3 linked regions of the Callithrix jacchus genome follow. The protein of the gene in region 1 interacts with the protein of each later gene in a pairwise test. Links are inferred from orthologs where the notes say so. Each region holds a gene or a part of one and is shown on either strand. Other genes may lie near its edges. The genes, in order: MID2, UNC45A and CCDC42.

Region 1 (10,525 bases):
TTCTTCTCCAACAAATTCACTCGTGATTCCCTGTTTTTGAGTTCAGTTATATCCTTTTCCTGATCCCTCCTCTGTGCTTCAGAGCATCCTGTGCAGACCTCTGTCATAGCACTTACCATACTGAATTGGAATTTTCCATTTACTTGTGTATCTCCCCTGCTAAGCCCAAAGTCCCTTTAGGACTGGGACTGTGTCTTATTTCCTGTGTCCCAGCTCCTACCACAATGGTCAAAGTGTTCAGTAAACAAGGTGAATGTTCATTAATTGTCTGTTAAATAAATGAATGAATTCCCTAGCCTAAATCCCTGATGCTATAGATTAAGTCATTGTCAGTTCTAGCTTCATGTGAGGCAAAGAACAAGGCATTACCTCATTATATCAACCTTTCATGAACTTGAAGACCATTATCACATATTTCCCTTTAAACCTCACTTCTTTGAGTTCAGTAATTCTTGTTTCCTTAATCTTTCCTCAACTATATTATATTTCTGTAATATGTTTCTTTGCCCAACAATAACAGACAGGATTTCCATCCACCCAAGAACAATCTCTGAGTCAACATTTTGTAAATTGTTCTCAAACAAGTTACTGTTAGCTCCTTTCAAATGCTGGTGAAGAGAAAACTTGAGTCAAAAGAAATAACAGAAAAACAGAAAGACGAGAGTACGGATAATAGGAGGATCTACTTGCTAAACTTGCTCTCAAACCAAAGAAACAATGGAAAACATCTTCCAACAGAGGGGCCTGTTAATAATAAATGAGTTCAGAGACAGAAATCAATATAAATCTTGCAAAGAAAAGAATAGGGGTTCAAATGAGTCTTAAAGCACAGTTTGAGTAGAGATGAAATAAAATTTATTTTATCCACATACACACTTGAAACATATACAGATTTATACATATTGTATGTGATGGGAGCAAGTCTGGAACACTTAAGAGACCACAGAGAAGGCAGATCTACAAGCAAGAATAATTTTATGAGCATGAGTTGAAGGCTGGTTTAGCTGAGAAACCTGTCAGATACTGTCCCCAACCCCATACTCACATGTTCACTGCCATCAGCACCAGACCTTAGAGAGCATTAATCTGGTCTCAAACGTTTTGTTCTTATTATATTTAGCTACTGTGATTTAGTACCTGACTGAGAGTGAGAAACAACATTTTTCTTTTCCTTCACCTATAGTAACCCACCCTGGCCTCCATTGAAGATTTTTCTTATCATGAGATTTTCTTATCATGAAGATTTTTCTTATCTGGCTCATTTATTAGACTGATCCCTAGCCTCAAGATGGGTTCTGCTGAGGCTCTAACTCTACCTAGGGTGGCAACAGAAAGCTTGCGTTACACTCATGGTCCCCTCCTACCCAACTTATCAGAAGATTTACACACTCTCTCTTCACATACAATGACACACATTTTATAGATATACGTTCATACCCAGGCACAGAGTCATTCTCAGCCACATATTTATGCAGGATATACACACTCATGTATAGTGATGCATACATGTGTATGCAAATATACACTCAACCCAGTCTCTTATATTTCGGTTTCTTTCTCTCATATTTATACTTATGCTGGTTGAGAAACAGTCATATGCCCATTAGTACACTGGTTGAGAGGGTATCTGTCTTGGCAGACAGTAGTGGGTGTCAAGTGAGTAAGTAGATAAATGACTGAGAGAAGGTGGTGACTGAGTGAGAATGGGTGGGTGGATGACAGAGTGACTGAGTAGGAAGAAGGACAAGTAATCAACTGTGATAAGATTCTAGAATATTGTATTTTCCAACCGTTTAACTCTCATTGTGGCTTTCCTTTGAACATCCTCCAAGTCTCATATGTCCCTTCTCTTTGTCTGGCAACCTTTAGCTTTCTCTTTTCCAGTCTTGCTTCGCGCGTGTGTGTGTGTGTGTGTGTGTGTGTGTGTGTGTGTGTGTGTTTTAACTTTCCCATGATAAAAGGCTTACTCCAGTGCCCAGTGCCCAGTGCCGGGTAACATTTCATAACAAGATCCCTGGTATGTAAATGTAACTGCATTTAAGAATTATTTGTAGTAATGAATTTGTGGAAATATAATGAGAAGAAGAAAATGTGCTTATTTATTCCTTTCAGGAAATTCCTCTATTCCCCCTGGTTTTCATCAGCTATATTTTTGGCAGTCTGTGGGCATGGAAATGTGAAGACATCACTCTCAAAGAGAATTAATATAATCACATGTGATTTATACAGATGTCACCATAGGGTTAGGCAGTTGGAAAATCCAGTGATCAAAATGAATAGGCACTTAAAATTAACGGCATGCCTTACTTTTACTAGCAGTCTGGTGTTGAATATTGTCAGTAGTTCACGGGAGATCTTTTTTCAGACTTTCAGGGTATACATTATGGCAAGACAGATTTATATCTTCTAAGATGAGATTTAAAGCAAGCTATAGATATTGGTATATTTCCTGCAAATCCATTATGAAAACTGAATTCATTTAGATTTCTTGAGCAAATACTATGTGTACAAGACACTAAGGAGAATATCAAAGAAATAAAAGGCATTATTTCTGACTTGAAGGAGATGAAGATGTAGCTGCGATGTATTGGGGTGGTCTTATGGGGTTTGAATTATGCATTAAAGAATAGGTAGATTTGTGCCAGGTGCGGTTGCTCATGCCTGTAATCCCAGCACTTTGGGAGGCCGAGGCAGGTGGATCACCTGAGGTCAGGAGTTCAGACCAGCAGCCTGACAAACATGGAGAAACCCCGTCTCAACTAAAAACACAAAATTAGCTAAGCGTGGTGGTGCATGCCTGTAATCCCAGCTACAGAAGGCTGAGGCAGAAGAATCACTTGAACCCAGGAGGCTAAGGTTCAGGCTGAGCCAGGGCCACAACAGCGAAACTCCATCTCAAAAAAAAAAAAAAAAGAAAAGAAAAGAATAGGTAGGATTTGTAAACAGGCCAAGAGAAGAACACTAATAAGAGTTAAGAATCCAGAAAAGAAAATGGTATGTTTTGCAGACGATTAAGAGGCTCACCTGGGTAGATGAAGGTAACACATTTGAGAGGACTAGAGGGGAAAATACATGGACAGCACAAGAAAGAAGTTGTACAGAACTTAGAATACTGAAGTATATCAGCAATAGTCACCGAAATTTGACCTCTTTTTATGAAGCCAAAATTTATTAAAACAATAACAACAATCTTTTATAAGGATAGAAACTCATGTGATAATGAAAATTCTAAAATGTGAAGCTGTTTTATAGAAAGGTCCCATATATCATAAACTAAGATATATATTGGGACTCGTGTGTGAAAAGTGAGAGGTGATGGAGAAAATAATTACTCAGATAGGCCTTACTACTCCAATAACTGTAATGAATAAAAATATTCCTTGAAATTGAATTATTAATTGAACTACTGATAGCCTGCTGAAAGACAAGTGTCCTGCATCTCAATCCTATTGGTAGATTAGACAACTGAATGAGATCATGAAACTATACTAAGTACCCCAAGCCCTCTAATCCATTTTGAGTACATGTTAAAAAGACAGGCTAGTTTCTGTTTATTCTGACCTTTCATCTACAACATAATGGTTTGCTTATTCTTTATTGAACAAATAAATATTAGAAGCCACTAATCCTAATCAGGGAGGTTTGTATATAAAAAGTAGTTACAAATGTCAACAGTGAAGTTCGAGAACCAAAAAGTAAAAATAAACACTGTATCAGCTACTGGCTAGAAAGCCAACCTCCTAGATACAAGGAAATAGTGATAGTATGGGTGCTACCTCCTACAAGACTCCTGTGCTTCTCTCAGGGCCAGGACTAGGGGAATATACTCAGGCAGTCTCTCGCATAGCTCCTGCTGGCCAACTTTCTCCTTTGGGGAAGAATCAGGCAGATTAAAGGGGTAATCCTAAATGGTCTTCCAATTTAAAATTAACCTAAAGAAGTGAGTATATGTGACACTAAAAGCCAGAGTTCCTCTCTGCTTAACATGGAGAATTAATACCCTTTTATATTTGGCACCAAACCAAAGTGACCCCTCCACCCCCGCCAACACGCACACACAAGCAGTACCTCTCTCACCCTCCCAAAACTCCAAGATGTTCCAGACAACATAACGAACCACAAGGTTGGGAATGATTCATATGTTTCCACTCTCCATCCAAAAATGAACAAAAATAGTTTCCACTTAATTTATAATCAGAATTTTCTGCACATTTCCTAAAATATTAAAGGGGGACTATTCAAAATCTGGCTTTCTTTCTCCAAAAATTACTGATTAGTCACAGACTAAAGTATGTTTTGGTAAAATATGTCCATGTTCCATCCATCCCTGGAGATGAGGGCTGTAGCTTCATGATGCCAAATATCTAATCAATCATCCAATGTTTTCATGTTTTCGGATGTTTTCAAATAGCTAGTTTTCTGTAGATACAAGCTTACACTAGCCAGTCTTTTTGTTATCTCAACAGTGCATATGGACACAGATTTTTCTGTTTGGAACATTTTTCAAGGTCAATGACTTATTATACTCCCAACACCTACAAATATTTGGCAAAGACTGTTCTGTCCTCTTCACATCCCCACTCTTCCTACAGCACCGCTCCTATCTTTTGCCATTATATGGCTGTAAGTTTAAACAATCTGTCCCTTCTTTGATGTCATTAATCTTTTATCTATGATCATGAAATGTACAGTTGCAGAAGCATAAAGTTAAGTTTCAAATCACATTTCATGGGGAAAACTTAGATCCAAAACAAAGTGGCAGCCGGCTACAGTACAAAGGATAGTTAACTCAGACTAGAGGCTGAGTTCCAGTTCTAGCTTTCCCATTACTAATCATTTCTTTGATTTTGACCAAATCACTTAATCTATCAAGATTTGTTTATACAACTTTAAAGTATAGAGCTTTGACTAGACCAAGTCAAAGGCCTAACATTTTATGATTCTAAAAATTGAAGTCAACAAGATTGTTGTCCTCTGCAGCCTTGATAGAATAAGAATATCACCTTGAGTGAAATAAAAAATTGAATTTTGTACACATCTATACAGATCTGATATAAATAATAACCAAAAGAGGCACAGACCATTGTATTTTCTAGAATAGCTGCTAAGTAGCTGGCTTCTTAAAAGAAATTTTACCACAAATTATCCAATCTGGGCCTTTCTTCTAGCTTGGCTTATGTATTCAGCTTCTATTTGGAGTGGCAATTTTACTATCCATTTAAACATTTTATTTTTCTAGAATAGCTGCTAAATAGCTCACTTCTTAAAAGAAATTATACCACATAATAGGCAAGCAATGGGAATAAAACAATTTGCTGGATCATTAGTGTAAGGCAGGAGGACTTTTTTAAATGGGCACTTAGGCTTGTACATAAATATTATGTGACACAATGACTTCAGAAAACTCTGTCCACAGAACACATATAAAAACTAGGAACTTGTAAGGTAGGAACTATAAACAAATGCTTCAGTCTGTAGCCCATAACAGCAAGCACTGTCACAAAATTTGATAGTGGATGAAATATTTGCCTTCAGTTTAAATTTTTAGTTCAGATATTTAATTATCCCTTCTGATTTCATGGTTTACTGAAGTTTCTTCAGTTCTTTGTTTTGTTTTGTTTTTAAAGGCAGGCTTAGAATTAGCCCTGTGTTAAATGCTTAATGGCAATTTGTAATGGCCAATGCCAAACTTTTGTTTCTTTAGTGTATTGAGTACATGAACATAAACATACATTACTGTCCTCCACAAAAATCTCTCACCTACCTAGATACACTCAGACACCTCCACCCACACCTACACAGAGACACACCCTGCCTTCCCATTGCCATATACCTACATATGCAAATAGAGACATATGCTAATTGTAGAACACCTACACAAGTACTCACATACTTAAAAGAGGTGGAAAGATCATAGCAAAGATATATAATAAGCAATATGTCACTGACAGAGGAGAGAGAGTGCTGTTTCCCTGGATGAACTACTGGTGTCGCAGGCCATAAGCTGACTCCCCAAAAGTTAGCCAGAAGGGTATGAATGCAAGCATGTTTATGCAACAGATCAGATAGGTTCCAGAGAGAGCTTGCAGGTGAGCAGGTTAATCCTCATGAGAACAACTTAAAGTTAACTCACTTGTCATATTGGAAAAGTCACCCATTTTATTAGAGAACTTACTAACTGTATAACTCTATTATGAGACAAAGTTGTGTAAGGGCTGTTCCCCAGATCCCTTACCTTGAGTTTCTCAAATCGATCATTCAGGGATGCGACCTGATGGTCTCGGTGACGACCCACCAGTTTGCATAAGGCACAGATCAATTGGTCATCAGATACACAGTACATGTTCACTTTCTCATTCTCATGGTCCAGGCAGGTGATCCCTCGGAGATGTGTGTCTGGCACTGGTTCCACCAGGCGGTGGCTGGTGAAAGGTTTCTTGTTGGGGTGCGTGGCCCGCAGGCAACGGTCACAGTAGGAGACCTCACAGGTGATGCATGTTTTTACTGCATCCCTTGGTGGATCCTGCTCACAGAATTGGCAAGAAATTCGCTCACTAGACATGGCGGTGCTGGGCCTGTAAGTCCTTTCCCGGCGGCTCTCACTAGGGGAATTGGGCCCACTGACTGAAGCCTTCTGGAAGCGATCAATAATATTCTGCAGGGTCACATTCCTCTTGAGGCCATCCAGGCCCCGGTGGTTCAGCGAGATAACATACCTGCAGGTAGGACACTGAAAAGCAGTAATGGGATCAATGGATTCACCAGAGCTGCAGCTTGAGACCAAGATGCGATGGGCACAGCTGAAGCAGAGGCTATGAGCACAAGGGAGCAGAAGGGGGTCTTCAAACAACTCTAGGCAGATTGGACAGGTCAATTCAGACTCCAGTGTTTCCATCTTTAGTGAAAATAATCCTCCTGAGGCATTAAGAACCACAGAGGCTGGGCTTTCACCTGCAAGGAATACAAAGCAAGAGTCATTACGCATTTCCAAAGGAAAATGGATATAACATAATTATGCACTAACCAATGGGAGCGTTTACATGCTGGATTCCCCAGGGATGCTTAAGCAATAGGAAAGCAATTTGGGAATTAATCAGGAAGACTTTTTCCCCTTCAAACCTTGTTTTACACAAATGCCTGTGTTTATTTTCATGCACTAATAGGTAAAATTAAATGGTCACCTCTGAATCCTGTCAGACTGATTAGCATTACCATTCCAGCTCACAATATTGGCATGGATCATTCTCTCATATATTCTCCACTGACATCTCTTTCCCAGACTAAAATGACGCTGAGGCCCTGCAAAATTCCCAATCTCTATTCTCCAATATTGGTCTCTATTTCACTTCAAGGTAAACTGTAGGGGCTGCTTCTATGTCACATCCAGTGTAAGGAAAACAATGCCACATTTTAAAGTAACTCTCTACTTTCTGAATTGATTCCATTTTGAGAGCCTGCATTAAAAAGAGAGAGCTTTAGGAAAATGAAGATTTTGGTACTGGATAAGTTTTTCCTCAGAGTGTGAACTTCAATTACTTTTTATTATCACACATGGAAATTTCTGTTCCATTCCATTCCTAGTAAACTGAGTTACTCAAGACAAAAGATGATACTTTTCACTGTCGTCTTCTTCTCTCACCTTCAGAAACCCCTTCATTTCATCGAGCTGAACAAGGAATGATTTCAGACTTTTCAACTTACTCAGCAATAGTTGCTGATCAATGATAAAGTCATATTGCCTTGTGTCTTCAGTTTGGTTTTATTACTAAACACTTGCTGAACTAGCACAAGCCTGCTATGAAGCTGATCGCCCATGTGTATTTTCATACTTTCTAAAACATAGCAGGATGCAAATCAAGATCTAGATAGAAATAGCAAAGTGCCAGAAATTTTCAGATCTCATAATCCTCAATTTAGTGTGCATCAGTGAGTAAAAGAAGTCACCCAACTGACAAGAAACCAACCTGTTGGTAAATTTATCTATTCTCCTGCAGGCATTTCTGTGCTGAACACACAGGTACTTAATTCTTAATTGCCTTGGGTCTTCCATTAATTAAAATACACACAGATAAATATTCTAAATTGGCCTTAACTAAGGAAAAACATAAAACATATCTTATTGACTGAAAACGTTAATCCTATGTATAGGAAAGAAAAAGCGTATCTTTCCTGCTTTTTCTTTTTCTTTTTCTTTTCTTTTCTTTTTTTTTTTTTTGGACAAGGTATCCCTCTGTTGCTCATGGTGGAGTGCAGTGGTACAATCTTGGCTAACTGCAACATTCACCTCCTGGGCTCAAGCAATCCTCCTGCAACTCCAGGAGCATGCCACCAAGTCCAGCTAATTTTTATTTATTTATTTATTTTGTAGAGACATGGTTTTGCCATGTAGCCCAAGCTGGTCTTGAACTCCTGGGTTCAAGTGATCCACCCACCTCAGCCTCACAAAGTGCTGGGATTACAGGAGAAAGCCATGGCATAGAGCCCAAGAAAAGTAATTTTTGCTTTTGAGTATTTTTTGTTAATCATCTTGTCATCACTGGAGACTCTCATCAGGGCTTCAAAATTTCACTCTGCCATTGATATTTGTTCAGATATTGTAATTTTTAGTGATATCTGCAGACTTCCCAGGATACATAAATACTGAGTACAATTATATTTTATGCCCAAGTACTATATATATATATATACCTAAAAGCTGTTTCTAAATCAAACCTTTTAAATGCACTCAACTACCTATTTAATGAAAATTTATATAAAATGGGGCTATAAAAGTGAAGAATCTTTTTGTAAATCACTCTCTCAGTTGGTTTAGCAGGTTCAGATGTTTATACAATCACTTTTTTTAAAAAGTGATAACATAGTATTTTTCTTCTAGAATTAACAGGTGCTTGAAAGTTGTTGGTCAGTATTTTGTAGCTTATAACATCTATCAACATTCACCTATATAGGGGAAAAAGTCAACAACTAAAATGTACACACATCACTGAATCTTAGTATTGGAAGAGACTTGAGAAATGAAGATTCCAACTTCCACTGACAGCAGGAATATTGCCTTAGATAGCTCCATTTGATATATTCCTCAGATACTCAAATTCAACATGACTATAAATGAACTTGCTGTGCTCCCCCTCACCTCCAGAAGACAAAACAAACAAAAGACTCCTGCTCCTCTTCTGATTTTCCCTATCTGGTGAATATCATCATCCAAGCCTAGAAATCTAAGAGGTCTCTCATCTACACGTTTTTATCACCTCAACCACTGGTGGCTTCCGGAACATTCTGTTTTATTTCACTTTTATAGCTGTATCTCCGGCTAACTCTTCCTTCTCCTTAAGGGTATCAACTATTTTATATTTTCATTCACAGCACAAGTTTGTGCTTCACACAAACTATATTCATTAATAGTTAATGAAGTATCAAACTAGGAGTAAGAAGGGACCTAGCATTCATTGAGCACCTCCTGTATTCTGAGTACTATGTTAAACACTTTACACATTATTTCACTAATTCTTTCAGGAAACTTAGGAGGAAGTTACTCTTACTGTATCCACCTTACAGTTAGGAAACTGGGACTTAGGGTCATTAAATAAGTCAACCAAGAACATACAGACCCAGAGCACAGGTCAGTATAACGCCAATGCCTGTGCTCTTTTCCCTACACCTTTATTTCAATCAACTCACCTCCTTAACTGAGGTTTATCTTGACTATTTACAAGAGGATTTCTAAACAGCATGTTTCCACTTCTATTTTTATCTCCCCCAGTCTCTCTGACTTTCTCTGAATCCGCCTATTTCATTCTAAGTCCCTTCCAGAATTGTATCTCAGTCTTCTAGGCCCATCTCCACCTCACACTGCACTTTTATTACTATCTCTTCTAGAACTGTATGCCTACATTCCTCAATGTCTGTGTTGGAAGCTACCTGGCTTGGTCAGAAGTACTGCTGAAAGCCATTCCTGTGTGTGTTGAAACCCATATAGAACAATTAGAGTACCAAAGCTTTCCTAAGGTTTAAGAGGGTGCCATATAAATTGTCCTGTACAGAGTAAAAGCTCTTAAATTTTGCCTGGAACTCTAAAATTTGTTTCCAAATCAGTGTGACACTTGAACCTCACTCTGAAATTAAGCCTGGGAAAGCAGGCTATGGGTCAGGATTGCCTTAGGTAAGATCAAAATAGGATTTATTAACCAGGGACTTCTGAACTTCCTAGAACTGTTTGCAGAATGTGGTTTGTATGTCATATATGCATTTTTTTTTTCTGGGGAAAAAGTTGCCCATAGCTTTCAAAAGATTCTCAAGGATCTTTGACAGAAAAAAAGCCAATCATTAGTACTCTAAAATAACCTACCTTAATTGATTTCAGCTCTATAAAGAATATTACAAGATAGTTACTCTCTGTTGCTTATTAGAACTTTTCTATACTGTTTCCAATCTGTTTGATTTTTAATTGTCATATAGTAATTGTTTTGGACAATTTTCAGGAACTGAATACTTTTATGAATTTCTTCAAACGTGTTCAATCATC
Region 2 (10,625 bases), on another chromosome or scaffold:
GGAATTGACATTCTTTATTGTAATTTTGTTCCTGTTTATTTTTAAATTTTCTTTTTGTTTCATTGGAAAGGAAAGATGATGCTCAGTTTTAAAACGTTAAAAGTGTACACAAGTTGCTTTGTTACAATAAAACTAAATGTGTACACACACACACACTACATATATATATATAATCATACTTAGTTCCATATAATCTTTCTATGTAATCATATAGGTACTATAGTCGGAGCTGTACCGACACATTTAGTGCTGATTTATATAATCCTTCTATATAACCATATAGTAGTTTGTAGTAGGAGGAATGCCTAGAGCAGTCACAGAACAGAAGGCCTGAGATCCTGCAAATAACTGAGGGAACCCTTCTGGTGTGACCACTCATGGCGGCTGTACACCGTCAGTCTTTTCTCAATTCTCTGCTAGCTCATATCATCCTCCCACAAATATCTTAAGAACACAAGTCTGTCAGCTCCCACTGCATTGGCTTAGAGCATCCTTCTATTAGAAATCCTTTGAAGTCTCCAGCCCCCAGATAAAAACAGGTGTTGTGCATGACACATGTTGCACACAGCCCACCTCCTTGTCTCGGTGACCTAATAGGGGTGGACCCCCTTTCTGTACACGACCCTCTACTACTGCACACAGCACGGCCCCCTACTGCACATGGCCCACCTCTCTGCCCAGGTAACATAACGGGGTGGCCCCCTCACTTGTGTCTCACGTGATTATGTATGCCCTATCACTAAGCCTATAGATGATAACCTCACTTACTACCCTTCCCCCTGCCTGTACCTAATGAATAGATGCTTCTGCATGTTCGGGGCCTTGCCTGTCTCCCCTCAGGTGGCGTGGCCCCCCCAAGTCCAGATGCCCTTCACCAGTTCTTCAGTGTCCTGTCTATTTCTTGGATCCTGCACTTCAGCACAGCATAAGGGACACCCCACAACCCTGTGGGGCCAACAGCCCTACAAGCACCTATGTGTCAGGCTCCATCAGGCACCTCACAGTCTAACCTGATAATTACACAACCCATCTCACTGATAAGGAAGCTAGGCTCGGAGGGGCTAAACCCCCAACCTGAGGGAGGTGATGCAGGGACACACAATTAGAACCCTGCTTTGCTGAAGGACAGGTATGCAGCCTACCAGTCCCCAACCCAGGAGGCTGGAGAAGGAACAGCAGCAATTTACACCTTTACCCATAGTTCTTTTTATTGACCATAATGACTTAGGAACTAGTACTTACATAATCTCAAGTCCCTGAGGGAACAGAGATCCCACCATGCAAAATAGCAAACAGACCCAAGACTTGGGGAGAGGCAGCGAGTGCATCAGAAATGGATGGGTACATCTTATTCCCACACTCAGGGGGCTCAGCTTAGTTAGCAGGAGACCTTCAGATTGAGAAAAAATGCAAGTCTTTTTTTGGCCTCTGGTATCTGGGAAGGATGGAGGGAGCACAGGAGGCACAGAAAAGGTGCGTGAATCCTGTCCGGCCTGGACGAGGCTGGAGTTGTGCTGCTGAAGAGCTCCAAGCACTGCTCAGAGTGTCAGTCCCCGCTGCTGGAACAGACGTTTTAGAGCCTCTTCCAGTTGCTGGTTTGTTCCCTGAAGCCCCTTCACCACCTGCGCTGCCCACTCAAAGTATTCCTGGACTCGCTGTTCTGACCATCCTGCATAAGAATCGGCAGAAACCTGCTAGCCTGATGTCAAAGACAGCACTGCCTTTTGCCTGCTTCCTGGCAAGCTTGGTTCAAGGCCATGAGTTCCTGATGGGATGAGCTGTCCCAAAAACTTGCCTGTGGCTCAGCTATTGTATTTTGACCATAGGAAGGCAGATCAAGAGTGGTATAGTAGAATTAATTTGGGAATTAAGAATGCCCAGAGTTTTTCAGGGGAACTGACCAACCTGTGCCTTCAGAAGGTGGCATCCCCCTCCCCTTTCCCTTAGAACCCATAGGAAAGCGTACCCTCTGGGGTGCAGCGATTCAGGTCCCTCAGATTGTGCAGCTTGTCTGCCAGCTTCACCAGTTTGGCCCCGGGGCTGCTGTGGGGCGCCTGCTCCACCTGCAGCCGCTTTCTCTCCAGCTTGGGCAGAGTCTTGTCATCTGTTACCTCCTCCACCAGGCACCGCACCTGTGCCCCAAAGTGTAGCTCCACCTCATCCAGAGTGGTGTCTGTGTCCTCCACCGTGTCATGGAGCAGGGCTGCCTGGGGACAAGTTCCCATTCAGCCCTGAGATGCTAGCCAAGGGATGCCCATTGCTGAATGGGGCCCCCGATCCCTATCCCAGACTCCTGGCAGAGAAGTGGGGAAGTTACCTGTAACACTGCAATGTCAGTGATTCCCGCCTCGTGGGTCAGGATCCGAGCCACACCTGACGGGGAGGGGCAAAGCAGGAAGTCAGCTCCGGGGGAGCTCCAGGGCTGTGTGTTGTGGGTTTCGGAGAGCCAGATGTGGCCCCTTGTGGCCTCTCACTAGCTGGGTGACCTTGGTTAAGTTCTTTACCCTCTCGGTGTAGACCGGCAAAGGGAACGATCACGACTACCGCTCCAATTGTTGTGAGGCTTAAATATCGCACTATGCTTGGGACAAAATAGATGCTCAACGAGGTGGACGCCCCCCACGTCTCCTTCCCAGTCCCCGCCCCCCAGGCGCCGCAGCCGGTGCCCCGCGGCCGAGGTGCCCACCGATGGGGTGGTTGATGTAGGGGGTCCCCTCCGGGTCCTTCCGCCGCTGCTGACGATGCTTGTAAGCTGCGAAGTCGGCAGCCTCCAGCAGCTGCGCCGCCTCGGAGCTCATCGCGCGGATGCGGCGGGAGACTGCAGCCGCGGGGAACCTCCACGGAGTATTTACAGCGCCCTCTGGCGCCAGGGAGGCCCGGGGGGGATCATGGAGGCGAATTCAGCGGCCTGAGTTGGACCTGGCCCAGGTGGATTCCTTCGGAGCTGACATGCCCCGTGCAGAGAGCAAGCGATGTGCGAAGCTGCCTTCAGCATCGCGGCCCCTAGCTCAGTGTGCTCTGTTGGGGGTGCAAGAAGAACATAAGCCTGGCTCTCTGGGAGCCTACAGTCTGTGGAAAAGAGTAAGACAGACAAGAAATAAGGCAGTGGCCTCACCGTGCACTGAATCCAGGGTGGGAAGGCTCAGGTGACTACGGGAATGGGAAGAAAGGTCAATCCAGCTAGCCTCAGAGCCAGAGGCAGCTTCTCCCAGAAGCCCCCTCCATGAACAGACAATCTTCAACCTGTCAAAGCTCTGAAAACGCTTTAAGTGTTCTAAAAATAGTTCTCCCTGCAGTGACGGGCCAGGTTCTCTCGGCAGGGGAGCCTCACCTTTGGACCTAGGAGATCCTAGGGCCTGACCTGAAAAATCAGAGCCTTCTCTGGGATCCCTGCCTAATTCCTTCAGACTTGGGCTCCCAGGTAGCCATGACATTTCTGCAGAAACTGCCTTTGTCCTCAGTGTTGCTTATGAAATTTGCATTGCCTTCTTGTGCCATGAGTGCTCCTATTTCAGTCTCGAGGCACCTTCTGTAGGCCCCTGTGGTTATGAGTGTTATCAGTGCTGTTCTGGGAGCACGATGTTGTCAGGCCTGGGTAGACACTGGAATGACACTTAATTCTGCTGGCTGGTAGCCTTGGGCCTTCTGGAAAAATTCCCTGCCTCAGCAGCTATGAGGTATGAGGGGTAAGAGAGGCCTGATGATTCTCATAGAACTGCTCTGTGAGAAGGGGTTTGCTATTAGTTAAGTATACGCTAATCAGACAGGAAGCTTTTGTGTTCTGGCTGGTAGCCGGGGCAGATGCAGCTCAGGGGAAAAGCTAATGAAAGGACTCACCCTCGGTTTTCAGCTAGTCTTGGTGGTTGCCATGTCGCAGAGGTTAGGGAGGGGAGTGCCACATGCTGGAACTGAGGTCTCTGGGACCTGAAATAGAAGAGTCAGAATTCCCAGAGCTTCCATGGCAGCCTGGAAGTTGGAGAACGGGTAGAAACATATTTGGCTCTAAATGCCTGTTTGTTCTTCACGCTAACAACTCAGCTGCTCGCTCATCCCTCATTCTGGCTTCTAGTTCTTTGAGCCTTTCCTCCTTCAGCAGTTTGGCAATGCGGGTCCCATGTTTTCCAGCAGGAGATAGAAACCTAGTCCCTGCCATCTCTCTCTAGAAGCCTGTGATAGAGAAGCTTCAGGCTTGTATTCATGGTGCCCGAGGGCCTTGGGGCTTTGATTTTTATTTCCTTGTTGTCTGCATTCATGGCCTAGAAAGAGAGATGTTAGAGTTCCCAGGACCTGGACAGAGGTGGTGGTGAACTCTCCTGGGCATCCAGAGAAGGCCAGGCCCCTTGCTGACAGGTCTGTCCATGGGGCTACTGCTGCTCCTTGGCTGGGCCACCCTTGCCAGCCAACTTCTCTTTCAGGTACAGCACTTCCTCCTGTGACCCACTTTCCTCTTGTGCTATGGACGACTCCTGGGGACTGGAACTGAAGGTGATGGGTAGAAGGGTGTCTGATCTTCTGGTAAGGGCTGATGTCTTTTACCGTCCAGAAGGCATGGAGTGGGCTGTGGCAAGACCCCTCCTGCTTGTTTCCAGCCCCCCACCTTTCTCTTCAGCTCTGTCCACCATCCACAATTGTGCCAGACCACCTGGGATGCCGACGGCCACCACTACCCCGGTTTCCCTTGCCCTCTTCTCTGATTCTCCAGAGGAAGCCTACTGCTGCCACCTGAAGGCTGAATTTGAGGTCCTGTACCAAGTCAACTTGTCCGTTCTTCCGCCCCCACCCATCCATCCTTAGGTGAGATCTCCAGCCCCGGAGCCCCTGGAACATCGACAAGGTGTCTCAGTATCTGGGGTTCTGTTCTTAAACTATGGGGTGGGAGGCTTGTAAATTAGAGTTGTGAAGGGACAGACCGCAGCAGAAAATCATGTAGATCATGATCACGATTACAAAGGCGGCTGTAATCGTAATCACGATCAGGGGGCTGTGCAAGCGGGTAATGGGGAGCCATCCTGAATCTACCCATGGGTGGCTTCAGTGTGTGTCTCTAAATTCGTACGCAAATGTGTGCATGTCAGACTACGCTTATTTGGGGAGGGGGTTCCGAGCGTTCTCCGGACTCCCAGGGGTTCTCTACCCCCACAGAACGCAGCAGCGAGAGCGCGGCCAGGGCTGGGATCCTGAGACTTTTCTCTCTCCCGCAGGGGCCGGGGCCCGCTCCTAGCGCTAGGCGTCTACACTCTGCTGCTTGTGACCCTGATGGCCGCAGACCTCGTGCACTTCTGCTGTGGTCGGGGCCGGGGTCGGGGCTAGAACCACTGCAGGCCTCCCTTTGGGTCCTCTGCCGAGAGCTCCCTGCAGGTCTCCGCTGGGACAGCTTAGGGGTGCGCGGAGTTTGCTGGCACCTGTCATCCGGGGCGGAGCGTTCCGCCCCTGCCCGGGCGCGCCCACCCCTTAGCCCCTCCTCTCACTGACCCCGCCTCCGACGCAAGAGTGGGCGGGGCAGCTTCCGGCCGAGTCCCGAGCCCAGACCCGACCCGCCCCAGAGACTGCGCCTGCGCGGGCACTGGACTACCTCTCCGCGATGACTGTGAGTGGTCCAGAGACCCCCGAGCCCTGGCCGGCTACCCCCAGAGTGCGTACCCAACCCCCGCGCCATCACCCCTTCGCAACCGCGCTGACTGTCCCGGCCTCCTCCTCCCCATCCACGAGGCGCCCCTGAATCCCTCCTCTCCTCTCCTCTTAGCTCTTGGGCCCTGCCCCGAGCCCCCTCCGACGTGGCCGCCCCTTTCTCCCTACAGGCCAACTCAGTGGCAGTGGAGCAGCTGCGGAAAGAGGGCAACGAGCTGTTCAAATGTGGAGACTACGAGGGCGCCCTGGCGGCCTACACTCAGGCCCTGGGTCTGGACGCGACGCCCCAGGACCAGGCCATTCTGCACCGGAACCGGGCCGCCTGCCACCTCAAGCTGGTGAGGGAGCCGGGTGCCCTTCCCCTCCAACTTCCCCACCCTCCCGGGACCCGGTTTGGGCATCTGAGCTGTTGCTTGGGCCCCAGCTGGACATTCACGCTTCCAGGCCACCCCGCTTGCTAGATGTGGAATGCACCTCAGGGTCGTGGGGGATTGGGTGACCTTGGAGAATGAGAGTACCCCACTGCCCGGTTAGTACCCCCTAGAGGGAGGTGACCATTCATTCGGCTCCTATCTCCCCCCCTCCCCACTCGGCTTCTGTCTTTCTCTTACAGGAAGATTACGACAAAGCAGAAACAGAGGCGTCCAAAGGTAGGGAATGGTGGGCCCTCGAGTAGCACTATAGGGCTTCTGGAGGTTGAGGATTGTGGGACCATCACATTCCCCTCCTTTTGCCCCGGAGACACATCTGCCTTCTTTCTTTCCCACTGCCTCGGGCTTTGCCTTTTCTGCAGCTACCCTTACTTTTTCTGAGGCTGAAGCACCGAGCCCCATATTCGTCCCCCACCTTCCTCTGGCTTTTCCTCGAGATCTGTCCCTACTGCTCTTGCCTGACGACGGTGGCCTCATGGGTGCTGACAGCGCTCCTGTTTGTGCTCAGCCATTGAAAAGGATGGTGGGGATGTCAAGGCACTCTACCGGCGGAGCCAAGCCCTAGAGAAGCTGGGCCGCCTAGACCAGGCTGTCCTTGACCTGAAGAGATGTGTGAGCTTGGAACCCAAGAACAAAGTTTTCCAGGAGGCCTTGCGGAACATCGGGGGCCAGATTCAAGAGAAGGTATGTGAGTGACCCAGACAGGTGGAAGCACTGATCAGTGGTGAAGGGATCTGGGCCAGGGGTATAGACAGTTCTCCAGAGAAGAGATACTGATGGCAGGTGAACATAGAGAGTTCTGCTCAACCTTGCCTGTGGCCAGGGAAAAGCAAATTCAGATGACAGCACATTACTGCTGATTTGGTGGTCTGTTTGGCAGATATTTAAAAGAAGGGACACTTTTTTTTTTTTTTTGAGGCGGAGTTTCGCTCTTGTTACCCAGGCTGGAGTGCAATGGTGCGATCTCAGCTCACCGCAACCTCCGCCTCCTGGGTTCAGGCAATTCTTCTGCCTCAGCCTCCCAAGTAGCTGGGATTACAGGCACACACCACCATGCCCAGCTAATTTTTGTATTTTTAGTAGAGACGGGGTTTCACCTTGTTGACCAGGAAGGTCTCGATCTCTTGACCTCGTGATCCACCCGCCTCGGCCTCCCAAAGTGCTGGGATTATAGGCATGAGCCACCGCGCCTGGCCTGAAAGGACACTTTTTGAGGGGAGAGGCAGACATGTCAACGGTGAGGCCGGGGGCCAAGGGCTCTCTGATGACTGCTGGAGGGGTATAAATTGGTACAGCTCTTTTGGAGAGTACTTTAGCATATCTATTACATTTGAAACGAGTGTATCTTGTGATCCCATATGTTTACTTCTTGCTGTTTCGTTTTTTAAATTTATTTTTATTTTTTTTAAAGACAATGTTGGTCAGGCTGGTCTTGAACTCCTGACCTCAGGTGATCCGCCCGCCTTGGCCTCTGAAGTGCTTGGATTACAGGCGTAAGCCACCACACCTGGCCTACTTCTTGCTGTTTCTCTCAGAGAAACCTTGCCCATGGGTACAAGGAGACATGTGTATGTTTATTTCAGCCCTTTTTGTAGTAAGAAAAGCTTGGAACTTGCCTGAATGCCCAGCCATAGGGAAATGGCTGAATACACTGAGTAATTGAATTGAATTCAATTCAATTGAAGTGGAAAGCTCTGGGACACTTGTTGAATGAACAACACAAAATAGGCAGGGCATGGTGGCTCATGCATATAATCCCAGTGCTTTGGGAGGCCAAGGTGTGATGATCACTTGAGATCAGTAGTTTGAGACCAGCCTGGGCAACATAGTGAGACCCTGTTGTTATAAAAACTTTAGTTAGCTGGGTGTGACATACCCTTATAGTCCCAGCTACTTGTGAGGCTGAGGCAGGAGAATCCCTTGAGCCCTGGATTTTGCAGGTCAGTGAGCTATGATGGTACCACTGCACTCCAGCCTGGCTGAAAGAGTGAGGCGCTGTGTCTTTCCGAGAAGAAAAGAAGAAAAATATATAATAGCACACATAGTATAATATCATTTATGTTAATGATCCCTTACGTAGCAAAACAATGCTATATTTTTTCTGTGGGGACACTGGGTGTGTAAATAAAAAACAATATTTTATTTTTTTAGATTTATTTGTATTTAAGTATTTTGAGGCAGGCTCTCCCTCTGTCACCCAGACTGGAGTGCAACCTCCTCCTCCCAGGCTCAAGTGATCCTCCTATCTCAGCCTTCCAAGTAGCTAGGACAAATGCATGTCACCATGCTCATCTAATTTTTTTTTTTTTTGGAGACGGAGTTTCACTCTTGTTACCCAGACTGGAGTGCAATGGTGCGATCTCGGCTCACTGCAACCTCCGCCTCCTGGGTTCAGGCAATTCTCCTGCCTCAGCCTCCTGAGTAGCTGGGATTACAGGCACGCGCCACCATGCCCAGCTATTTTTTGGATGGTCTTGATCTCTTGACCTCGTGATCCACCTGCCTCGGCCTCCCAAAGTGCTGGGATTACAGGCTTGAGCCACTGCGCACCTCCCTCATCTAATTTTTATATTTTTTGTAGAGACAGGGTTTCACTGTGTTGTCCAGGCTGGTCTCGAACTCCTGGGCTCAAGGGATCTACCCACCTCAGCCTCCCAGTGTGTTGGGATTACAGGCGTGAGCCATGGCACCAGGCCAAATATGTATCTTTGTTTTTTTTTGTTTGTTTTCACAAAAATATTTTAAAAGATGTATGTCAAAATGATATCACTGTGAGCCCTGGGGAAAGGAGTGGGTTTGAGAGGGCTTTCCAAAGGAGACTCTGTCATCTGTTCATATTTTTTTAGTAAAGAGAAATTGTGTAATACATATATTTTTAAATTAGGAGAAAATAATCTAAAGACTATTATGAGCTATAACCAAGCTCAAATTCACCTGATAATTTGATGTTAAAACGCTGACACAGTGGAAGAAGGTAACATGATGGCAGAGACCTCACTGAAACAGTGAAACCCAGAAAAGCAAAGAGTTTTCCTCTCTCAGTGCCAACTCTGATTAGCAGTGGCTGCCCAGAGTCTCCTATGTTGAGAAGAATTAGGAAGCTGATTGCCTGAGCTGAGCAGGGAAATGTGCCGTGTCTGGTTAGTCATGGCTGCCATGGATACAAGAGGGTAAGGGGGTGGTCCACATGCTAGGCTTGTGCCACCGTCGATGCCCAGGACCCTGGGGGTGGGGGAGTAGGCCTAGGATGATCTTGCCCATTCAGATTATTATTATTATTTTTATAAAAAAGAAAAGGTTTTACCATGTTGGCCAGGCTAGTCTCAAACTCCTGGCCTCAAGTGATCCACCTGCCTTGGCCTCCCAAAGTGCTGGGATTACAGGCATGAGCCACTGTGCCCGGCCTATTATTATTATTTTTGAGACAGAGTCTCATCCTGTCACCCAGGCTGGAGTGCGGTGGCAGGATTTCTGCTCACTGCAACCTCCACCTCCCGGGTTCAAGTGATTCTCCTGCTTCAGCCTCCTGAATAGCTGGGATTATAGGCACCCACCACCATGCCCGGCTAATTTTTATATTTTTAGTAGAGATGGGGTTTTGCCATGTTGGCCAGGCTAGTCACAAACTCCTGACCTCAGGTGATCTGCCCACCTTGGCCTCTCAAAGTGCTGGGGTTATAGGTGTGAGCCACCTATAATCTGAAACACCAGGTTTCAGATTATGTTTAAAACAGTCAAAAGGAGAATTCCGGTGCTAACGAAAGTGTTAGCAACTACCTCACAATCTGCAGCCCCCTGGCAGGAGGCGTAAATGCTGAGTTCAGTGTCATGGGCAGCCCATTCATGCTGCCATAACATAGATGGCACCACTGGGAGTGGGTTACCTTGTGGCTGACAGGATACCTCCCCTCCCGAAAGACTCTACCTCCAGCATCGGCACTGTTCCTGCTGCCCAAGCAGGAAATAGCTCAGAAAGCAAAACAGCTGCAGGGAATGTAGGAGGTGCTACCAGGCAAGTCTCTTCCTGCCCAGGGTAGCCAGGTACTAGCTCTGAGTTTCGACATCTTCGCTGGGCTCCCAGAGTGAGGAGCTGGAGACAAATGAACAGGGAATGTAATGTCTCTGGCCCAGAGCCTTGATTTCTTCCATGCTTTGTTGGTTCATAGGTGCGATACATGTCCTCGACGGATGCCAAAGTGGAACAGATGTTTCAGATACTACTGGACCCAGAAGAGAAGGGCACTGAGAAAAAGCAAAAGGTATAGGCCCTGGGCTGAGTCAGTGAGTAAGCTCCTTCTAGAGCCACCCAGCCGTAGCACCTTTCACCCATGCAGGCCCCAGAAGCCCCTGCTGCCCTGCTCTGCCACTCCTCCGACCATGCAGCTGGCTCATGGGGCCTGGAGGGGAGCCCTGAGGGCCTGGGACTTTAGCATGAACCAAAGAAGGAGAACCGGTGTTCACAGAGTGCCTTGTGGGCCAGGCCCTGTGCCAGGAGCTGGGTGTACAAAGGTGACTGAAGCACTGTTCCAGCCCCTCAGTCTCTGCTGGGGACTCGTTGACGCTAAT
Region 3 (10,525 bases), on another chromosome or scaffold:
TCTAAATCTATTAGTCTATGGAGTCCGCTTATTCCCCCTAGGAAACAGTATCTCAGGATTCAGTTTGGAAAGTGCTTGTTCAGATAGTTTGGCTTTTCTTCAGGGATAATGCCAAACCTTCCATGACACACTCTATGGAATTCAAATTGCCCTGGCCTTCTGCAGAATCACTTTTCCTAAGCTGTCCTGTGCACCACGTTCCTTGTTCTGTATAAGCAGCTGCTTTACAAAGCCCGTGCCTGCATTGCTTGCAGGGATGCTGTTGAGGACATCATAAAATGTCAATGAAGGCTCATCAGGAAATTTCTGTGAGAGCTAACTGCCAGGAAGAGGAAACCTTATCTTTTCTTATTCTGGTATAAGAACTACTGGTGGCTTTTCATTTGGGTTGCCAGGAAGCTGGCAATTAACTGCCCCCGTCTAAGGCCCTTAAGAACCAAGGGCAGTCTGTATTTCTCTCCGTCCTTGACCTCTGATTTCAACTTGTACTTTCCCAGGTCCTTAATTTTAAATCTTTAGGCTACTTGGTCATGTGTATTTCCATGAGTAGCTTCATCTCCTATGGGAACGAAGTGAGATATTTTCAAATAACTTTTGGGCAATGTGAAGTTCTCCTGTAGAGGTAAATCCAAGTTGAGAGGGATTCAGAAACTCAAAATTTGGAGTGGATGGACTAGAAGCTATGGTCTCAGCAGGGGATGCACTTGTGGGAGTGAGGGGGTGGAGAGCGGCATCTCCCACTGAATCTTGAGAGTTTTGCTCTTGCTGCCCAGGCTGGAGTGCAATGGCACAATCTCAGCTCACTTCAACCTTCACCTCCTGGGTTGAAACGATTCTCCTGCCACAGCTGCCTGAGTAGCTGGGATTACAGGCACTTGCCACCATGCCTGGCTAATTTTTGTATATTTAGCAGAGACGGGGTTTTACCGTGTTGTCCAGCCTGGTCTTGAACTCCTGACCTCAGGTGATCCGGCTGCCTTGGCCTCCCAAAGTGCTGGGATTACAGGCGTGAGCCATGGCACCCCACCATCCTGCTGCATCTTTCTTCACAACAGCTAAGGGCAGGAGCCTGAGGACCTCTGGGTGGCCGAGGGGAGGGGGACTGAGTTTTTTTTTTTTTTTTTTTTTGAGAGGAAGTCTCACTCTGTCACCCAGACTGGAGTACAGTGGCTCGGTCTCGGCTCACTGCAACCTCTGCGTCCCGGGTTCAAGTGATTCTCCTGCCTCAACCTCCCCAGTAGCTGTGATTACAGGTGCCCGCAACCATGCCTGACTAATTTTTGCATTTTTAGTAGAGATGGGGTTTTACCATGTTGGCCAGCCTGGTCTTGAACTCCTGACCTCAGGTGATCCAGCTGCCTCAGTGCTGGATTACTCCCAAAGTGCTGGGATTACAGGCATGAGCCATCTTGCGCAGCTGGGCCTGAGGATTTCTGGGAGTCTCTGATATCCTATTCTGGGGGACAGGGGTTTTGAGGCCAAAACTCTTTTTATAATAATAAAAAAATGTTATTTGCCTGTTTTGCTCTTATTCTCTCACGAGTCCACAGTGGCATTTCTCAGAGTGGAGTTTCCATGACATATACTGTCACAGCAGAATGAACGCAGAAGCAGACATGAGCACCTGCCTGTCCTCTGTTAAACCAGACATTAAAGCGATCTGCAAGTATGTCAAACAATGCCACTCTTCTCACAAAACACTTCTGAAACCTTTTTCATAAAAATGCTATTTCTATTGACATACTTTTTATTATTATTCAAAATAAATTAATTAAATATTTTTAAATTTTCTCTTTTAATTTCTATTATGGTAGTTACCAATAGATACAACCCCTATAAAGGAAAGCTCTCTGGGAGTCCTCAATAAACTCTAGGAGTGTAAAGACGAAATGCTGAGAATTGCTACCTTCAGAACAAACTTTCTTACAAGTTTCCTCCTTTGGGTTGTAACATAATTCTGTTCAAACATGCTTTAAGGTGTAGGCTGATTTTTTGTTTTAGGGAACTTCTTTTGCCTTGCTGTGTATATTTCATGAGTTTACCCCCCCTTGTTTTTTTAAGTAGGGAAAGTGCCTCTCAGTCAATTTTTTTTTCTCGGTTCATCGCAGCCTCTGCTTCTTGGGTTCAAGTGATTCTTCTGCCTCAGCCTCTAGAGTAGCTGGGATTATAGGTGCTTGTGCCACCATGTCTGGTTAATTTCTTTTTGTTTTTTTGAGATGGAGTCTTATTCTGTCACCCAGGCTGGAGTGCAGTGGCGTGATCTCGGCTGACTGCAACTCCCAGGTTCAAACAATTCTCTTGTCTCGGGCTCCCAAGTAGCTGGGATTCAGGTGTGCACCACCATGCACAGCTAATTTTTGTATTTTTAGTAGAGATGGGCTTTCACCATGTTGGCCAGGCTGGTCTCAAACTCCCAATCTCAGGTGATCTGCCCGCCTTGGCCTTCCAGAGTTCTGGGATTACAGGCATGAACCACCAGGCTCGGCCTCCAATTTCTCTTTTTAACAAATGATGGGCCTCAGGTTCAGGCCTTCAGCAAGTCACAGTATCTCACTAGAATTTAATAAGGCTGTTTTATACAACTAATGGATTCAATATGGGTCCCTTGTATACTGGAGCCAAAAAGGGTTTGGTGCTAATGCAAGATTCTCAAAGTATGGAACCCGAAATCAGCAGCTTCACTTGGGAACTTGCTGAAAATGTAAATTCTCATCTCAGATCCACTGAGTCAGAGACTCTGGACGTGGGGCCCAGTAAGACTCCTCCCCCTCCCAGGTGATTCCGATGTTGTGAAAATTTGAGAGCCCCTCCTCTGCTGCTCTGTTGGTTTCATTGTTCCACCCAACCAATTGGTAACCTCTTTGGCCCAGCAGACCCAACGGCTCCAGGGCCTGTCTCCATCCTCCTACCATGTCCAGCTGCTTGTGTGTGTCCTCCAGCGCCACCTCAGTCGCCTCCTTCAGCTGCTTGCTCACGATCTGGAAGAGGTTCAGCGTGGCCATCTTAATGGTGCCAAGCAGGAGGGTCTTCTTGGCTGCAGTGTTCTGGATGTGCGCCCAGCGAGATTCCTGGGGAGGGGATAGGACGGGGCATGAGCACAGAATGTGTGTGTGTGTGTGTGTGTGTACTCAGGGCTCTCACTCACCCAGTACCCGCCCCGGGCCCCCTCACCCAGATGATGACGTTGCTGCGGGCACGGTCAAAACGCATCTGCAGCCTTGCCAGCTCATTGTTTTGCTGCAGGATTTCATCATCCTTCTCTTCCATGTAGTGTGCCAGCCGGGCTTTGGCGTGCTCAATCTTCTCCTGCCCCTCCTGCGCAGACTGCATGAGGTCGTGGTGCATGCTCACCAGTGTCTTGTAGCGCGCGATCACCTCATGGATCTCCTCGAACTGCGGACAGGGGCTCAGGACAATGCACAGCCAGTCCCAGGGGCCTGATGGAGCCACCCAGTCCTGCCAAACCCCAGCCTGGAGGCCTGGACATCTGGACATCTGGGGAGACAGGCCCTTGGCCAGTGGAATGGCCGGAGGCTGTGAGGAACATTGGGGTTCCCGCTGCCTGCCTCTCCTGGGTTTGTATCGGCCATGGTCCATTTGATAGGCTGGGGGGGATGTACAATTGGGCCAGGGATTTCTGATCTTAACTGCATGTTAGAATCACCTGCAGGGGCTTTAAAAAGGATACCTGCCAGTCTCCACCCCCAGAAATTCAGATGAATAAACAAGTCTTCTGTGGTCTCTGACACCTGAATTTTGCAAAAGATCCCCAGGTGGTTCCAGGCACAGCCAGGGTTGATAGTTGCTGGTGGAGGGCATTTTGATATGTCTCCCAAGGCAAGAATTTCCTATTCAACAAGGTTGTACCAAGAACCACTTATAAGTCAGGAGCGAGGCGAAATGCCAGGGAAATAGCAGGAGATAGGAAAACCAGACTCTGATTTTAGGAAGATTATATCCCGAGGGGTGGCATGGAGGGAGGACAGACAGACAAGTAAACAGTTACAACAGCAAGATAAGCCCTATCTTTGACTGGGGGACAGGGCTGGACAGGAATCTGGGTGAGCCTTCCAGTTGGTGACCTCTGGTATTTGTTCATTTGCTGAGGGAGAAGCGGGGGCTGGAGAGGGTGCTGGTGGGGCAGGTGGCCTGCCAGATTCAGCTCACCTCCTCCGGCATGGTCCAGAACCACACCACTCTGGCCCTAATCCTCAGGTCCTGCTCAGTGGAAGAGAAGCCCTGAAACCAACCCTGTTTAGAAGGCAGAGCATGAGCACCAGTTCGGTGATGCCAAGTTGCCTTCCTAGGGGCTTATCAAAGCATGCCTTTCGGCCACCCAGGGGAAACTTCCTGAGCACCTTCTCCATCTCATGACATCGCCAGTGACAGGTGGGTGTCCTGGGAACTACCCTGCTGGCCTTTCCCCAAATATGCCTCTTTGGGGAAGGGCCACCCAACTCAGCACTGGAGGGGGTAGAAATAGCCCAAAAAGGTTTATTGGGAGAAAGGGTAGCTGAAATGAGACGGGAGGAATGAATAGATGACAGCCAGCAAAATGAGTGTGGGGAGGTGATGCAGTACTACAGGTGGAGGAGGCAGCCTGGGTAAAGATAAACAGAATAGGGGGTGGTATGTTCAGGATGTTCAAGGTAGCCTGAGTTCAAGATGGGGAGGAAGAGATTGACAAGAAGAAAGAAGGAAGAAAGAGGGAAGGAAGAAGAAGGAGAAGAAAAAAAAGAGAAGGCAAGAAAGAAAGGAGGAAAAAGAAAGAAAAAAGAAGGAAGAAAGAAAGAGAAAGCAAGCAAGCAAGAGTTCAGTAAACCTTGGGAAGGAGTGTGGACTTTATCCATTGAAGGATTTTAAGAAGCAGAGAGGGCTGAGCGTGGTGGCTCCCACCTGTAATACCAGCACTTTGGGAGGCTGAGGCAGGTGAATCACGAGGTCAGGAGTTCAAGACCAGCCTGGCCAAGATGGTAAAACCCTGTCTCTATCAAAAATACAAAAATTATCCAGGCATGGTGGTGGGCACCTGTATCCCAGCTACTCGGGATGCTGAGGCAGAGAATTGCTTGAACCCAGGAGGTGGAGGTTGCAGTGAGCAGAGATTGTGCCACTGCACTCTAGCCTGGGTGACAGAGTGAGACTCCATCTCAAAAAAGAAAAAGCAGAGAGACAGTTCACATCTACATTTCTGAAAGTTCATCTGGCACACAGTGCAACAGCGTACCACAGTTCAAATAAACGGACTACATCCGAGCTACTAGGAACACACCTCTAAAACTTAATGCTGATGCCAAAATGATTCAGGTGTCAAATGGAAGAGCCTCCAGTGCCCAAAGATGAGATGATTTGAACATTAGTAAGAATAAGTGCAAAGGTTTAAAACATACCAAATATGTTAAAAACCTATAAGTTCACAAGGATACTAGAAGCATTACAGGTGGGTGCAATTCATTATTCTGAAAACTGTAAATAAAGCATTTAACAGACTTTCTCTGTAAGACCCACACAATCATCAAATGGGAAGGTTCTCTCTTATGAAGTCCTTTTCTTTAATGGTAGTGTTCTAGCAAATAAACGAAGAAGGGCTGCTAGTGAGTATCTTCCCCCCACCATTGAGGAAACCAATATTCCGACTTCTATCACTAAAGATTAATTTTACCTGTTTTTAAACACGAGTGGAATCATGCGATATAACCGCTTTTGTGTCATGCTTAAGAAGCATACCAACTAAGGGCAGTGTGAGGACCTTAGTGGACCACGATTGGAACAAACCAACTGTACAAAAAGCATCTGTGCAATAATTTGTCTTAAAAGATAGGATCTCACTCTTGCCCAGGCTGGAGTACAGCGGTACAAACATGGGTGACTGAAGACCTGACCTCCTGAGCTCAAGCAGTCCTCCTGCCTCAGCCTCCCACGTAGTTGGGACCACATATGGGTGCTACCATGCCTGACTACTTTTTATTTTTAAACTTTTTGTACAGTTGCGGGGAGGGTCTCACTTTTTTGCTCAGGCTGGTCTTGAACTCCTGAGCTCAAGTGATCCTCCCACCTTGGCCTCCCAAAGCACTGGGATTACAGGCATGAGCCACCATGCTTGCCCCATTTTGTGCAATAAATGATACTGATATTTTATGTTAAGGAATTACTATCAGTTTTATAGTAGGTGTGACAATGGTGTTATAGTTATTTTACAAAGAACTCTCATCTCTTAGAGATACATACTGCAGAGAGACATATATGGTTGAAAACATACCATTTGCTTCAAAATGGCAGAGGTGGGATAGTATGGGGGATGTGACTATGAATTGATAATTACTGGAATCAAATAATGAGCAGCAGGTGTTCTATACACTGTTGTATTTACTTCTGTATATGCTTAAAAATTTCATAAAAAGTTACAAAACGTTCAATGTTATAAAATAATAAAAACAAGCATGATATGAGAATTTTTAAAAGCAGGATACTCGGCGTCTGAGGAGAGGTGAAAAAGCATGAGATTTGGAAGGACACAGGATTTCATTTATTGGATTTCAATTGTCAGTAGTGTTTAAGACAGCAGAACTGGGGGCAGATGGGGAAAGATGAAGATTTAGCAAAGCTATGTGATGAGTACTTGGTTGCTGTTATGTGTGTCTCTATACTTTCCAGTATGCTTAGAGTATTTTGAACAAAATAAACAAAGAAGAAAAGAAAGAAAGAGCGGAGTGGGAGGAATGTAAAACAGGCTGGCCAGGAATGACGCCGAGTGGAACTCCAGATGAGGTACCACTGGTGGCCTGGATGGGGAAGGGGCCGGGACTGGATTCCAGAAATACTTCTAAGGCAGAACAGACCAGATCTGCTGATTGATAGCTGTGGCACTGAGCAAGAGGGAGGAGCCAAGGAGGCCCAGGTTCTGGTGGAGCTGTGGGTGGGTGGTCCTGCCATTCGCCAGCACAGGACAAACCAGCAGCAGGGCTGGCCTGGGGGTGGCAGGAAGCAGATGAGACAAGTGTGCACGGGGAAGAGTTAGATATGGGGGTCTTAAGCTTAGAAGCGAGACACAGGCCAATGTCCTCAATCCTAAGATACATATTTTAGCAACTCTGAACTCAAGACACACCTTACAATATTTTGTTTTGTTTTGAGATGGAGTTTCTCTCGTCCCCCAGGCTGGAGTGCAACGGCATGACCTTGGCTCACTGCAACCTCTGCCTCCCGGGTTCAAGAAATTCTCCTGCCTCAGCCTCCTGAGTAGCTGGGATTGCAGGCACCTGCCACTACGCCAGGCTAATTTTTGTATTTTTAGTAGAGATGGGGTTTTGCCATGTTGCCCAGGCTGGTATTGAACTCCTGACGTCATGTGATCCACCCACCTTGGCGTCCTAAAGTGCTGGGATTACAGGTGTGAGCCACTGCACACCTGGCCACATCTTGCAATTTATCGGCTGTTTTAATACGGTAGTCCCTCCTTACTTCCTGCCCGCTTCCCCAGAAACTCTAACCATGAAATGAACCACTGACCTTATAGTACGTAGCAGCTTTGAGTGGAGGAAATAACGCAGATGTGGGACTCATGCATGAGTAAACTAGGTGAGTGGTTTGATATGGGAATTGTGGGAAATTTAAACAGCTGGGCATTCTGTCGCCCCTCCTCTACCAGGACATAGATCCACGTGCCTGGAGGGGGTGCCTCTATCTGCCCCGGTGGGGGGCTCTTCTGGCTGTTGGTCACATGGGGGAGGAGATAGTGTGACATGGGTGGCATCCATGGAAGGCCCTAGGTATTGATCAGGGAGAAAAGTAGAGGATCTGGGACAGAGCACCTGGACTCACCACATAAGAAGGACCTGGGAAGAGGCCCTTCTCCGCCCCAGCCAGGAGCCTGAGAAGAAGGGCCACAGAGTTCAGGGCAGTGGGGGTGGTTTCTGGTTTCTGGGAGGGGCATCAGCAGTATTACACTGCAAGAGCCATGCTGGAACTGAGAAGTTCTCTGGGCTTGGGCCACAGGGATGGCAGGAAGAGCCCCGGTCAATTACACTGTGGGGCCCACGGAGAAGTGGCTAAAAGCAAATGAGCTGTGAGACTGATAAGCTGTGAGACTCTTGGCAAGTGACTTAACCTCTCAGAGCCTCCATTTTCTTCTCTGTAAAAGGATGATCAGCTTGGGTTCCCCTTGGGGCTGACCAGAGAACTGAATGAAGTTACCCATGTGAAGCACCAACTCCCAGGACATCTGAAACACCCCAGTTTGTATGGTGTTTCAATACCAGGAGGCTGGGTGTTTTTCCAGCTCCTCTCCTTTCCCCTTCCCAATTTACTCTCCAGTAAACAGAAGACACTGAGAAGAGGGGACACAGGGATAGAGAGAGGCCACCTGCTCACACACACACGCACACACACACACACACACACACACACCCCTTTAGACAGACACAGCCAAGGATACACATGTAGACATAAACATGCAACTCATGCAAGACATATACACAGTTGTGACTCAAGACATACCACTAGGCCCCACCCCTTGGGAAACTCATCCAGCCTCACTTGAGGCTTCTTTTAGCTGCCCCTGACTGCCCCCCAAGGACTGGTTGCATCTCCTCAGAGTAGGGTGCCCATCCCTGCAGAGTCCCTGGGGCTCAGAAGGTCCACAGTCTGAAGCCAACTGAGCCTGAGCTCCACCCCATTGCCCCAAGCCCCAGGAAACAGGAGGTGGGGCTGAGGCAGCTGCCAGGGCCAGCCGCTGCCGGGCTCCTGGGACTCACCTCGGAGTTCTCCACCACTTTCTCTAGGTACTTGTTGAAGATGGAGTAGTCCTGCAGCTTGGCGCTCAGACGCTGGTGCTCCAGCCGCAGCGCCACCATCTCCTGCTTGCCCCTGGTCAGCTCCCGCAAGTGCCGACACTTGAGTTCTCGCTCCTTGTTGACTTTCTTCATGGCTCGGATCCGTTTCTGGTCGTTCTCCTGGGGCCGGGGGAAGCAGCACTGGTCAGGAAGCCTCGCCCGGTCCTCCCGGGGCCCAGGCCATCCTGGGGCTGGTGGTGCCCTCAGACCCCTCCATGTGCTCAAACCATCCTGGGAACAGGCAGACTGCTGGGCCACCCATGAGGCAGAAGCGGGGTGAAGGAAAAGGCTCTTAGGGGTATTTGAAGCTGCTTGAGGAGATTTCTGTGGACTGAGGTGGGGCTCAGGGGGCTGTGAGGACAGAGGTTTCATCCAAGGTCAAGAGGTGGCCCTGGGGGCGGGGGGAGGGCAAACAGGAAATGGTTCTTTCCTGTGGGACTTGGGCTCTGGACTTCAGAGAGTGGACTAGGGGAGACCTGCATTGCATCGGGCTCAGAGTCTGGAGAGAACTGAACCCCTTGATAAGATTGAGAAAGTCCCGAAGTGGTAGCAGGAAGACTTCTCACAAAGCTTCTGTTGTTTCTGTTCTTCCCGGTGGCCATTTTCCGTGGAGCAGAAGAACCACTCCTGGATCAGAGCTGGGAGGTGCAAATTTTCTCCCGATTCGGTGCGCAGTGCCTCCATTTTCCCAGCTGTGGAGAAGGGAGGCAGGAGCCCCTCTCCCTTTCACAAGCTGGGGTAACAGGGCTGGAGTTACAGGAAGATGAGCTAGGAGATGCACCTGGTGCCTTAGGGCCTGGTGGTAAGGCCACTGGGAGAGCATGCGCTTAGGAGCTCAGACTTGCATCCCACTTAGGGAGGAGATGGTACAGGCAGTTCGATGTGAGAAGACAGAAGGATCAGCTACTGCAATCGATCCAATCCTGCCTATTCTTTCTGCCAAGCCCTCCCCTAAGATTAGGGACAAGCCCACCCCTCGCCCTGTGTGACTCCTGTCTCCCATCAGGGGCTCCTGTGATATCACATGGATGGACTTATGGAATGTGGCACTTGGAGGCCACTGAGGAAGGTGCACGGAGGATCTGTGTGCTGCCCTGTAAGCCCAGGAGAGGACTGAGGGGGTCTAAACCAGTGGCTTTCAAATCCACCTGCTCATCAGAACTGCCTACAGAGCTTTTAAAAAAATATAGAGGTGTGGTGGCTCTGCCTGTAATCCCAGATTTTGGGAGGCCGAGGCAGGTGGATCTAGAGGTGAAGAAATGGAGACCATCCTGGCCAACATGGTGAAACCCCGTCTCCACCAAAAAAACACAAAAATTAGCCAGGGGTGGTGGCACTCGCCTGTAGTCCCTGTGACTCGGGAGGCTGAGGCAGGAGAATGGCTTGGACCTGGGAGGCAGAGGTTGCAGTGAGCTGAGATCATGCCACTGTACTCCAGTCTGGGTGACAGAGCAAGACTGTCTCCAAAAATAAAAAATAAAATATGAATGAATGAATGAATGTATACAGAAGGCTGGGCCCAACCTCAGATCTGCAGAAAGCAACAAGGAAAGCCCCTGGGGTGTACATTTGTAGCAAACTCTTCAGGAACTGAAGCTGCTGACCCTTTGAGTGCCATTTGGAGAATGGCTCACACCCAAATCTCCTCCTGCCCCAACTACTCCATACGTGCTTCTCTGGCTGCTAAGAAGAAC

Evidence for each region.
Region 2: the proteins of MID2 (region 1) and UNC45A interact in binary tests that used the Homo sapiens proteins (3 or more experiments, as listed by UniProt). The two-hybrid records come from large-scale screens. The link is inferred for Callithrix jacchus from reciprocal best matches to the Homo sapiens genes MID2 and UNC45A.
Region 3: the proteins of MID2 (region 1) and CCDC42 interact in binary tests that used the Homo sapiens proteins (3 or more experiments, as listed by UniProt). The two-hybrid records come from large-scale screens. The link is inferred for Callithrix jacchus from reciprocal best matches to the Homo sapiens genes MID2 and CCDC42.

What each region holds. Positions count from the first base shown.
Region 1 is NC_133524.1:104,388,472-104,398,996, reverse strand, and holds part of MID2 (putative E3 ubiquitin-protein ligase MID2), read right to left. Parts: intron 6,952-10,525; coding exon 6,236-6,951; intron 1-6,235. UniProt on the Homo sapiens protein: E3 ubiquitin ligase that plays a role in microtubule stabilization. Mediates the 'Lys-48'-linked polyubiquitination of LRRK2 to drive its localization to microtubules and its proteasomal degradation in neurons.
Region 2 is NC_133507.1:19,498,635-19,509,259, reverse strand, and holds the start of UNC45A (protein unc-45 homolog A), read left to right. Parts: upstream 1-5,541; 5' UTR 5,542-5,581; coding exon 5,582-5,632; intron 5,633-5,798; coding exon 5,799-5,966; intron 5,967-6,241; coding exon 6,242-6,278; intron 6,279-6,567; coding exon 6,568-6,743; intron 6,744-10,225; coding exon 10,226-10,318; intron 10,319-10,625. Other genes in the region: HDDC3 (guanosine-3',5'-bis(diphosphate) 3'-pyrophosphohydrolase MESH1), read right to left, coding at 1,539-1,669, 1,967-2,207, 2,318-2,373, 2,687-2,798.
Region 3 is NC_133506.1:75,254,868-75,265,392, forward strand, and holds part of CCDC42 (coiled-coil domain-containing protein 42), read right to left. Parts: intron 8,952-10,525; coding exon 8,754-8,951; intron 3,496-8,753; coding exon 3,172-3,495; intron 3,069-3,171; coding exon 2,910-3,068; intron 1-2,909. UniProt on the Homo sapiens protein: Essential for male fertility. Required for sperm development.